Danio rerio: one gene and its partner. The protein of the gene in region 1 purifies or fractionates together with the protein of each later gene. This does not show direct contact. Links are inferred from orthologs where the notes say so. Each region holds a gene or a part of one and is shown in the gene's direction. Other genes may lie near its edges.

Region 1 (4,852 bases):
CAGTACACCACAATCTGATTTGAAAGATTATATAAGAGACTTAAATTTATTTTCTATTTAATAAATCATTATTTTTTCTGAGCTGGTTAATTTTTCTAAGATATTTTGGTCTAAAAAAACAATACACAACTTGACAGAAATTTGGTTGTCTATATCTAAGTTTTATTCGAGTGGCTTATATGAAAAGCAAAGGCCCCGATTACAATTATTTGACCAAAATCAAATATGATCATGCCTTGATTTTGAATGATTTTATTAGGACAGTAAGGTCTGACTCTGCTTAAAGTCTCATCACTGAAAAGAAATAATGTCCAGTATAGAATATAAAGTCCTGCTGCAGTGGAGACAGAATGAATATTGTGTCTGACTCCATCATGAGCTTGGAGGACTGCATCCATACATCTCTGACATGACTCAAATCACTGATTAACAAAGTCATCTGGAATGGTAAAGAAAGCAGTGCAGGACTCCCAGAGCTCATCAAGACTCTTTGGATTCATTTTCAATGCCTCCTTCTTTATTTTACCCCAGACATGCTCAATAATGTTCATATCTGGTGACTGGGCTGGCCAATCCTGGAACACCTTGACCTTCTTTGCCTTCAGGAGCTTTGATGTGGAGGCTGAAGTATGAGGAGCGCTATCCTGCTGGAGAATTGTCCCTCTCTTTTAGTTTGTAATGTAATGGCAGCACAAATGTCTTGACACCTCATTTTACCTCATACATATTTGGACAACTAATTTAATGACAACCTAAATGTTTCCCAAATATTACATTTACAAACACCTTTACACAGTTCATAGAATAAATTTGATTTCGACTGCGTTGTCCAGCTAAAGTAAATTATTCAAAATGTCAAAACAATTTAAAAACAATGTTTGATTATTAAACATTTTACAGAATAATATACATCAATTTACTATTAGCATCATTGTAATATTTAATACTGGGTTCCACACAATTACTTCATGTTTTCCCAAAACAAATCGATTAAGTTAACTTAATTGATTTTACAAATGTAAGAGGATTAAAATAAAACAATCAATTTGTCCCAAAAAAACTTGTTGATTCAGCTCATTTTAAATAAGTAGCTTGAACAATTAGCACTATTTGTTAGTGTATGGGGGCCATTTTACCTCAGTTTACAGTTTGAGCTACAGAAAATCAAATATACCGTTACAGTATATTTATTTTTTCTTGCTATTAATTACCTAATAATACATTACTGCCCTTAACATGTCCTACACAGCACTTTAAAGTTAAAACATTTCTGTAAACGGAGTTTCTGTTCTCCTGAAGCGTCTCTTCATGTTGCGCCATCGTGCGGCTCCATCTCTCGTTGTTTTTGGTGGATTCTGATTCTCGCAATATCGCGATACTATAAATCCGAGATGTGAGCCCGCGCGCTGCCTGTGTGGAGAAATGCGCATGCTCGGCCATTCACACGTGCTGCAGTTCAGAAGCGCGCAGCTGTGGTGAAGATGGCGGACACTGAAAGTAAGATCGTCTTTTATTCATTTTGGCTACATGTGTTGAGATGTTGCTCGCAAATAAGCTTGTATTATAGATTGTTTGTATGAAAACACAGTAAGTAAGTAGAAGATTGGTGGTAAATACATGTTTTAACTCCAACCACATGCATGGCAGCCGGGTGCGTGCAAAAAGGCAAAGCCTGATCTGCTTTTAAAAGTGCCTCTTCAATAATTAATATTACTTTTAGTAGTTGTAGTAACTTTGAACTTTTCTCTGCAAACAAACAAGTAAAATGTAATATAACTATATGTATACATAATAAAAATATTATTGGAAATGGTCATTTATGTGCTGAAGTTGGATATCTGGTCATTTTAGCAACTAACGTTAAATAACTCCGTAATAACGTTAATATTAAACACTAATACACATGTAATAGGCTAATACACATTTATAATTGTGATGTAGGGAGTGGTCCTTGTTGTGGACACTGTAAAGTCTTATCAGGTTTATGCAGACCTAAAATCAAGGTCATTTATTATTTTTAAGTGAATGTTTTAGATTGATACACGGATAATGAGAAGTCACAGCGATTTAATGTAATGTATAATGTTAATAATGAAGCTTTAGAGGTGTTTTTGTAAGGTTAGAACTGGAAGTTTAACCCCACGTGCTGCTCCAACACGCCACGTGGTCTAGCTTAAAAATGCACAGTAATGTACAACCCTTAACAGGAGGAGGACTCTTATTTTTTTTATCCTAAATGTATGTCTATGAAACATTCGTGATTTTTGTTTGTTTGTTTTTGTTGGATCAGGTAAGAAAGAGAAGAAAAGGAAGTCTAAGAAGATTTCTGATGAAGAAGTTGGGGTAATTTTCTTTTCTTATACGTGCATGTTTAATGTTATTAAATGATTTAACCATGGCATATGCTGTTAAATTTGACTTTGCATGTATAGGTTATTTTTGCAAGTATAGGCTATTTTTAAGCTAGTTAATTCCTTTCACACTCCTTTCTGTCCTGAGGTAAGGTTGGTTTTATATTTGCACATTTGGACTTTCACCTTAATATAATTTCAGGAAAGTATTGTTAAATTCTAAATGGTGAAATCAAAATAAACAGCCAATGACTAACAGTACAACATCATTCAGTCAGTTAAATAGTGCTAATGTTATTTAGCAGTCATTGCATGTGATTTTAAACCAAATAAAGTAGCATGGTTAATAATATGGGCACCTTACAGAGATTGTTACACTGTTATGGTTACAAATATAATGTGCTTTGTGCTCATAACTGTACATTATAATCTTTTAAATCCTGCTTTACTATTTAATAAATGTGAATCTCTGAAAATGCGAATATACAACCAACTTTATCACAATACTGGCATTCAATGAAGCCAAATGCTGTCACCAGACTGTACATAATCAAAATAAAATATTGTATGTGACACTCAGTGCTGTTTATTGTACAATGAATGTTTAGGAAACTGATCGGATTGCATGTTATATATTGTACATATCGTATAGGTTTTGCCATGAATATAGCCAGTGCTGCTGATATGGATTTAAAATGATAAATAAATCCTAATAAAGCTACCTTTGCCATCAGGACATTCAAGAAAGCGGAGACTTCCTCATTAAACCTGAGTCTAAGGTTGCCAGCTTGGACACATCTCAATGGCCGTTATTGCTTAAGGTCAGTTTCTGTTTACCCACAAGTCCTCTCACTTTGTCTGTGGTGTGTGACGTGATGAACTTGTTTATCCATTCGCCGAGCGCTGCTGGTTCTGTCTCTAAGCGGCCCTGCAGTCTGTTCTGGGCCGCAGGGTTTCAGCCGTCTGATTCTGCACTGCTGGGTCAATGTTTTATTGGTTCAGTTGCTGTGGAGTCTGATGTGCTGGTGCGGAGGATCAGACCGGCTCTGGCCAAGATGATTATACATGACTGACAACATGCACATACTTGGGTTAAACGTTTAATGTCGCTTTTAGTGTTTTTATTGACCTATATACATGTCTGTCTGCAGAACTTTGATAAGCTGAACATCAGGACGGCTCATTATACACCTCTACCACACGGTTCCAATCCTCTCAAGAGGGGCATACACGATTATGTCAGGTATGAAGTCTTGGATTAACGTAATCGTCTCTTAAAAGAAAAGGAAAAACTCCACCTTATTTGAAAATAGGCTAATTTCACAGCTCCCCTAGAGTTAAACGAATGTTTTAGCTTAGCATAGGACATTGAATCAGATGAATCTGCTGTTGAACTCTAGCTTAGAGTGCGCCGTCTACTGGTAAACGCTAATCTAGAGCACCTTCTGTTGAACTCCAAGCTCAGAATCGACTAAATGCTGGCTTAGAGCATGCTGTCTCTGGTAAACGCTAGCTTAGAGTGTGCAATCTGCTAGTAAACGCTGGCCCAAAGCATGCTGTTTGCTGGTCGACTCTGGCCTAGAGCATGCCGTCTGCTGGTTAACGTAAGCCTAGAGTGCTGTCTGCCTGTTAATTGCTAGCCTAGAGCGCTGTATGCCGTTGAACGCTAGCCTAGAGCACCATCTGCTTGTTAAACGCTAGCCTAGAGTGCTGCCTGCCTGTTAAACGCTAGCCTAGAGCAGTGCCTGCTGTTAAGCTCTAGCCTAGAGCGCCATCTGCCTGTTAAACGCTAGCCTAGAGCGCCATCCGCCTGTTAAATGTTAGCCTAGAGCGCAGTCCGCCAGTTAAACGCTAGCCTAGAGCGCCGTCTGCCTGTTAAACGCTAGCCTAGAGCGCCATCCGCCTGTTAAATGTTAGCCTAGAGCACCCTCCGCCTGTTAAATGCTACCCTACAGTGCGTCTGCCTGTTAATCTCTAGCCTAGAGTGTGCCGTCCACTGTTAAATACTAGCCTAGAGCTATTTGTTAAACAATTGGCTCAATTGACTAAACTCTAGATACAGCGTCTGCTGTCCGACGCTAGCCTAGAGCGCCGTCTGCTGTCCGACGCAAGCCTAGAGCGCCGTCTGCTGTCCGACGCTAGCCTAGAGCGCCGTCTGCTGTCCGACGCTAGCCTAGAGCGCCGTCTGCTGTCCGACGCTAGCCTAGAGCGCCGTCTGCTGTCCGACGCTAGCCTAGAGCGCCGTCTGCTGTCCGACGCTAGCCTAGAGCGCCGTCTGCTGTCCGACGCTAGCCAAGAGCGCCGTCTGCTGTCCGACGCTAGCCAAGAGCGCCGTCTGCTGTCCGACGCTAGCCTAGAGCGCTGTCCGACGCCAGCCTAGAAAGTTGTCAGCCGTTAAACAATAGTCCAGAGTGCCGTCTGCCATTGAACGCTACCCTTGAGCTCCAATTACTGCTAGCCTAGAGCGCCATGTTAAACTCTACCCTGCTGTTTAACTTTAC
Region 2 (4,861 bases), on another chromosome or scaffold:
ACAGAACTGTTGTGTGTATATATATATATATATATATATATAGGCATTCCATGAAACAATAGGTCATGACAATTTACTTGACAGTCCTATAAAAGTCATGGAAAAATTATCTCTATCGTCTTGTTCTGTTGACAGAATATTTTGTGTGTGTTTTCACACTTATAATGATAATACTAATAATACATATTTATTTTGGACAAATTGGTGTGAAATTAATTGTTATTAAATTACTAATAAAGCGATATATACATACAGAATGTATTAAATTCAAGTAAAGTGTCTACCTTAAGGTTTCTAATAAATTTGAAAAAGAATAAATGCATTCACGTGATAAAATATGTAAAACAAAACACATACACAACACTTTTGACCTTTTAAAACACAAACATCTTTATTATGCCACCATCACTTCTGCTAATAAGCAACTGTTACACTGAGTGACATTTTCTGAACGTGTAAAATCATGGTAAGTGTGTATGTAGACATTATTTATGCTCAAAAGAAATTAATGTACAAGGGTTCAGATGTGCTGTTTTAATGCGCACAGCTGTAGTTTGAGCCTCGTGAATTTTTGTGAAGCCCAATAGCGCTATCTGCTGGTAACTTGTTAATACTACAGCAGCCAGTAATTTGGTTATATTAAATGGTATATAACCTAAATAGAGATCAAATATTAATATAGATTTTTAAAAAAGTACATTTATTGGTGGTACATTTTAGTTGGTAGAGCGGAGGACTGTAGCGGTATCATAACACTGTCATCCTTAGGTCGCTGGTTCGAATCCGGCTCGAAGGAGTGTCTTTATTTACTTCGGTTTATACAGCTTACAATAATAACGTGTTCACATTAGAGACTTCGGGGTTGATTGAAACGAACTCTGTAGCCATTTTTGTAAGTGCGGTTCAGTTTAGACGGGGGAACAGGGACAGGATCTTGGGCAGCCCTGGTTTAAGATTATGAACACTGAACAGCCCCGCGAAATATAATACTTTCAGAAATCTCTGTCAACTTCCAAACAAACTACTACGGATTAACCGAAATATCAGCATAGACACGGAATATAGACGTCTATGGCAAGCCGTTTTAACATTTACTACTTTGTTTTGACTATCCATAAATATATTTAGAGATATCTCTAATTATATTTTGACTAGTCATAATTATAATTCGACTAGTCAGAATGACAATTAGAGATATCTGCAATTACATTTGTACTAGTACGAAATCATATTGGAGATATCTGCAAATATATTGTGACTGGTCATATTCCTCCATTGACTTCCATTGAAAAATATTTGCAGATATCTCTAAATGAGTTTTGACTAGTCACAATTGTGATTAGAGATATCTCTAAATGAATTTCGACTAGTCAATTGTAATTAGAGATATCTCTAACTGAGTTTCTACTAGTCATAAGAAGTCGACTAATTCCGCTGCTCCTGACGTCATTTCATACCCTTCGATAGCTCAGTTGGTAGAGCGGAGGACTGTAGCGGATTATCACTGAAATCCTTAGGTCGCTGGTTCGAATCCGGCTCGAAGGAGATTGTTTTTTCAAACATACGACTCGCATAAGCGTATAATTTCAGCTATGTATTGGTAATTAATGAATGACTGAAATTTTGTTTAGCTTGGCACTGTTGAATAAAATTTTATACAAATGTTCGCTTATTTTGTTTATATTTTAAACATTTAACTTTTGTTTTATCAACAGATATTGTGGCTTTTATTTTGAAAGGCTTTTTTCGGTTCCTGTTCACGTGTAGCCGATGACGTAGAATCATAGCTGAAGCGCTTTCTTCATGCTGTTCACACATGGAGAGCTAAACATGGAGAATTCAAGTACAGAAAACGCAACTTACAGCCAGGTAAAGGATGTTTTATATGCGTATGTGTGTTTCTTATCATTCACAGTCATTGTGGCACACTTGGTAGGTACTAAATATATGTATTGTATCCTCTAAAATGTGCATTTATAATTTAAACTTGAGTGATGAATAATTGAGCATGTGCATCAAGCATGAATAGCTGTAGACTAACTTAGTAAGGTTAGAGGAAGATGCAGCTCAGATTTTAAATAGATTTTTAATATATATTAGATTGCAAGTCACGGCATCAGTAACACCGCCACCCTGCTGAGTTAACTTTAATCTTGCATGCTGATTACTTAAAGAGACACTCAATGTTTTTTTTCCCCCTAAATATAATAATAACCATTAGAATTAATTCAACCATCAGCACCTTTGAGAAATGACAAAGATCATGTGCACTCACATAAGAGAATCACATCAGTTTAATAGAAAATGTTTTATTCCACATGTTCTCTTACGGTGTTAATATCATGCTGAATAATAATAATAATAATACTGATTAGGATTGTATGATATTGCAAAATTCTCATATTGCAATTTTTTATTCTGCGATATGAATACAATTTTACTAAATGAGTTGAACCATTTGGAATGGTTTTATAATTTTAGATTGATTTGGGTGGATTTTGTAGGGAAGTGCATAAAATATAAAAAACAATCTAACAGCGTCGATGAGTTCAATAACGAAAAAGATTCAAATGAAATAAACAGTGTTTTTTTGTTTGCAAGTGTTGGGTTGCAGCTGAAAGTTGGCGGTTCATTCTGCTGTGGCGACCCCTGATTAATAAAGGGACTGAGCCAAAAAGAAAATGAATGAAATTGTATTCAGGTATACAGTAATTGAATAATCAAAAGAAAAATAATACCACTTGGTCTTTGTTTTATAAACAATTCAATAAAAGTGATGGTTATAAAATTAAGAAAGGTACAAATGGTACAATTTCTTAGGCCTTAATGCTTTTAAAACCCTCACACGCCTTAGAAATCACTTGCAAAATTATGAATTTGAATCCAGACTTGCGAATGATGACATTACGATATCGATGCTGAAATGATATATTGTGCATCCCTAATAATAATAATAATAATAATAATAATAATAATTGCTATTTTTTCACATCTATATCTTGCACAAATTTTGTTTCTTTTCCAGGATCAAGATGAGACCAAATCTAAAAAAGACGAAATGGAACTGGATATCAAGACTGAAAACACAGATGTGTTAATTGGACCTACAGATGAACCATGCACCAGTGAACAGAGAGACGATCAGATCTCCAGCATTCAGCCTGAACAATCTAGCAAAGAGAATTCAGAACATCAACTTGTAAAAGAAGAAGATTTTACCAGTGATCATGCTGGACTCACAGGAGAAGATCAGAGCTCCGGTGGTCAACCTGCACTAATAAGAGATGCTTTAACCAGTGATCAGTCTGGACGGGCAGATCAGAGCTCCAATATTAAGTCTGAACCAATCGATGAACAGATCTGTAGTGTTCAGTCTGGTCCAGCAGAGATGCAATATGGGACTGTGGTCAGTCCACAGTCTGGCACTGGATCGTTGGCATTGCTGAGCATGCAGTACAGAGGAAACAGCTCGGATGACAACTGTTCTGACAGGTAAAATCATGCGACATTAAACACTATAGCATCTAGGCATATACTCAATATATTGTAATGATGTCCATGCACACATTGAGTATGGTAGGCACTTCAAGATACAGTGAAGAATATGTATTAATGTGTTGTAGAGTATTAGTAGTTGTTCATCACAGCATCAAATGCATACATGCTTGATTTCAAACAATTTTACATGTTAATCCGAGCTAAAACTGTGAAATGTATTCATTTATAGGCCTTTTGTGTATTAACACTGTACAGTAAGGCTCTTTTTGTTAACCTCAGTTATGTAATGACAACAACAAAAACATTTCATAGTTGGTGCATAATTGCACATTACAATAAAAAGTTGTATTTTTTATTTAAATGGAGTTAATAACTACCACAATTCTGTTGCATTTTTATATAAATGAGTATTTATAAATAAATAAATAAAAATAAATTGCCTGGTAATGACAATTAAAAAAAGCATTTTTCTATCTTTTAGGTGTTGTTAATTTCTTAATTAATGCATATAATAGCATTAAAATCAAAAGTCGTAATCATTTCATCAAATGGAGTTAATAACTAATACAATTAATTTGCATTTTTAAAATGAACTCTATAATTATGATACATGTCTATTTCTCACTGCTGATTTTAATGCATTAACTAATGTTTACCAATGAAATTTTAATGTAAAAGTGTGACCTGGTGTGCTTTCATTTAGATCCTTAGGTCAATATCTGGATAATACCGTATGCGTAAACTGTGATGCTTCAATTATACCCCCCCACCCCCACCCCAGGAATGTTCAATGCTAAATTATTTTATTACTTTTATTTAGTGACTCAGACTCTTCATCCTCCACATCCTCATCTTCATCCTCCTCTTCGTCTTCCTCCTCTGAGCCTTTTGAGGTAGTGATTATGCCGAATAAAGCAGAAGATGATGATGATGATGAAGGTTTTGCCGGGGGCAATAAAAAGTCAGCACCGGTCAAAACACAAGATGAGCTGCTTATTGATGTAAGTTTTAAGATTTTTCTTCTTTTCCAACAGCAATTTATGAACCCAAGCTGATATGTTTCCATCTTTCCCAGTGTATTTGATTAGATTGTGAGTTATTTTACTTATTTGTGATATTAGAGGTGTAATTCAGAGGAGTTTTGTCATCTAGGAATATATAGTTGGTGACGTAACCTAAAAATATATTTATAGTCTTGTTTTAAACATACAACATTATTGCAAAACACTGATGTAGTCTGTTACCAAATTCTTATTGTGTTCCACCATATTATTAATAAACATAATAATATGCAAAGAGTCCAAAAACTCTTCATTGCCACCTGAAAACAATCTTTTTCCTCAGGCTCCTATGTTTATGTTCA

The links. The genes of interacting proteins can lie anywhere in the genome.
Region 2: the proteins of dkc1 (region 1) and naf1 purify together in Homo sapiens (co-immunoprecipitation; 7 studies listed by BioGRID and IntAct, counting the BioPlex papers as one, with this or other methods). This does not show direct contact. The link is inferred for Danio rerio from reciprocal best matches to the Homo sapiens genes DKC1 and NAF1.

What each region holds. Positions count from the first base shown.
Region 1 is NC_133196.1:47,449,179-47,454,030, forward strand, and holds the start of dkc1 (H/ACA ribonucleoprotein complex subunit DKC1), read left to right. Parts: upstream 1-1,410; 5' UTR 1,411-1,481; coding exon 1,482-1,497; intron 1,498-2,290; coding exon 2,291-2,343; intron 2,344-3,085; coding exon 3,086-3,172; intron 3,173-3,502; coding exon 3,503-3,594; intron 3,595-4,852.
Region 2 is NC_133179.1:10,564,601-10,569,461, forward strand, and holds the start of naf1 (H/ACA ribonucleoprotein complex non-core subunit NAF1), read left to right. Parts: upstream 1-1,783; 5' UTR 1,784-1,803; coding exon 1,804-1,869; intron 1,870-3,025; coding exon 3,026-3,492; intron 3,493-4,318; coding exon 4,319-4,499; intron 4,500-4,861. UniProt on the Homo sapiens protein: RNA-binding protein required for the maturation of box H/ACA snoRNPs complex and ribosome biogenesis.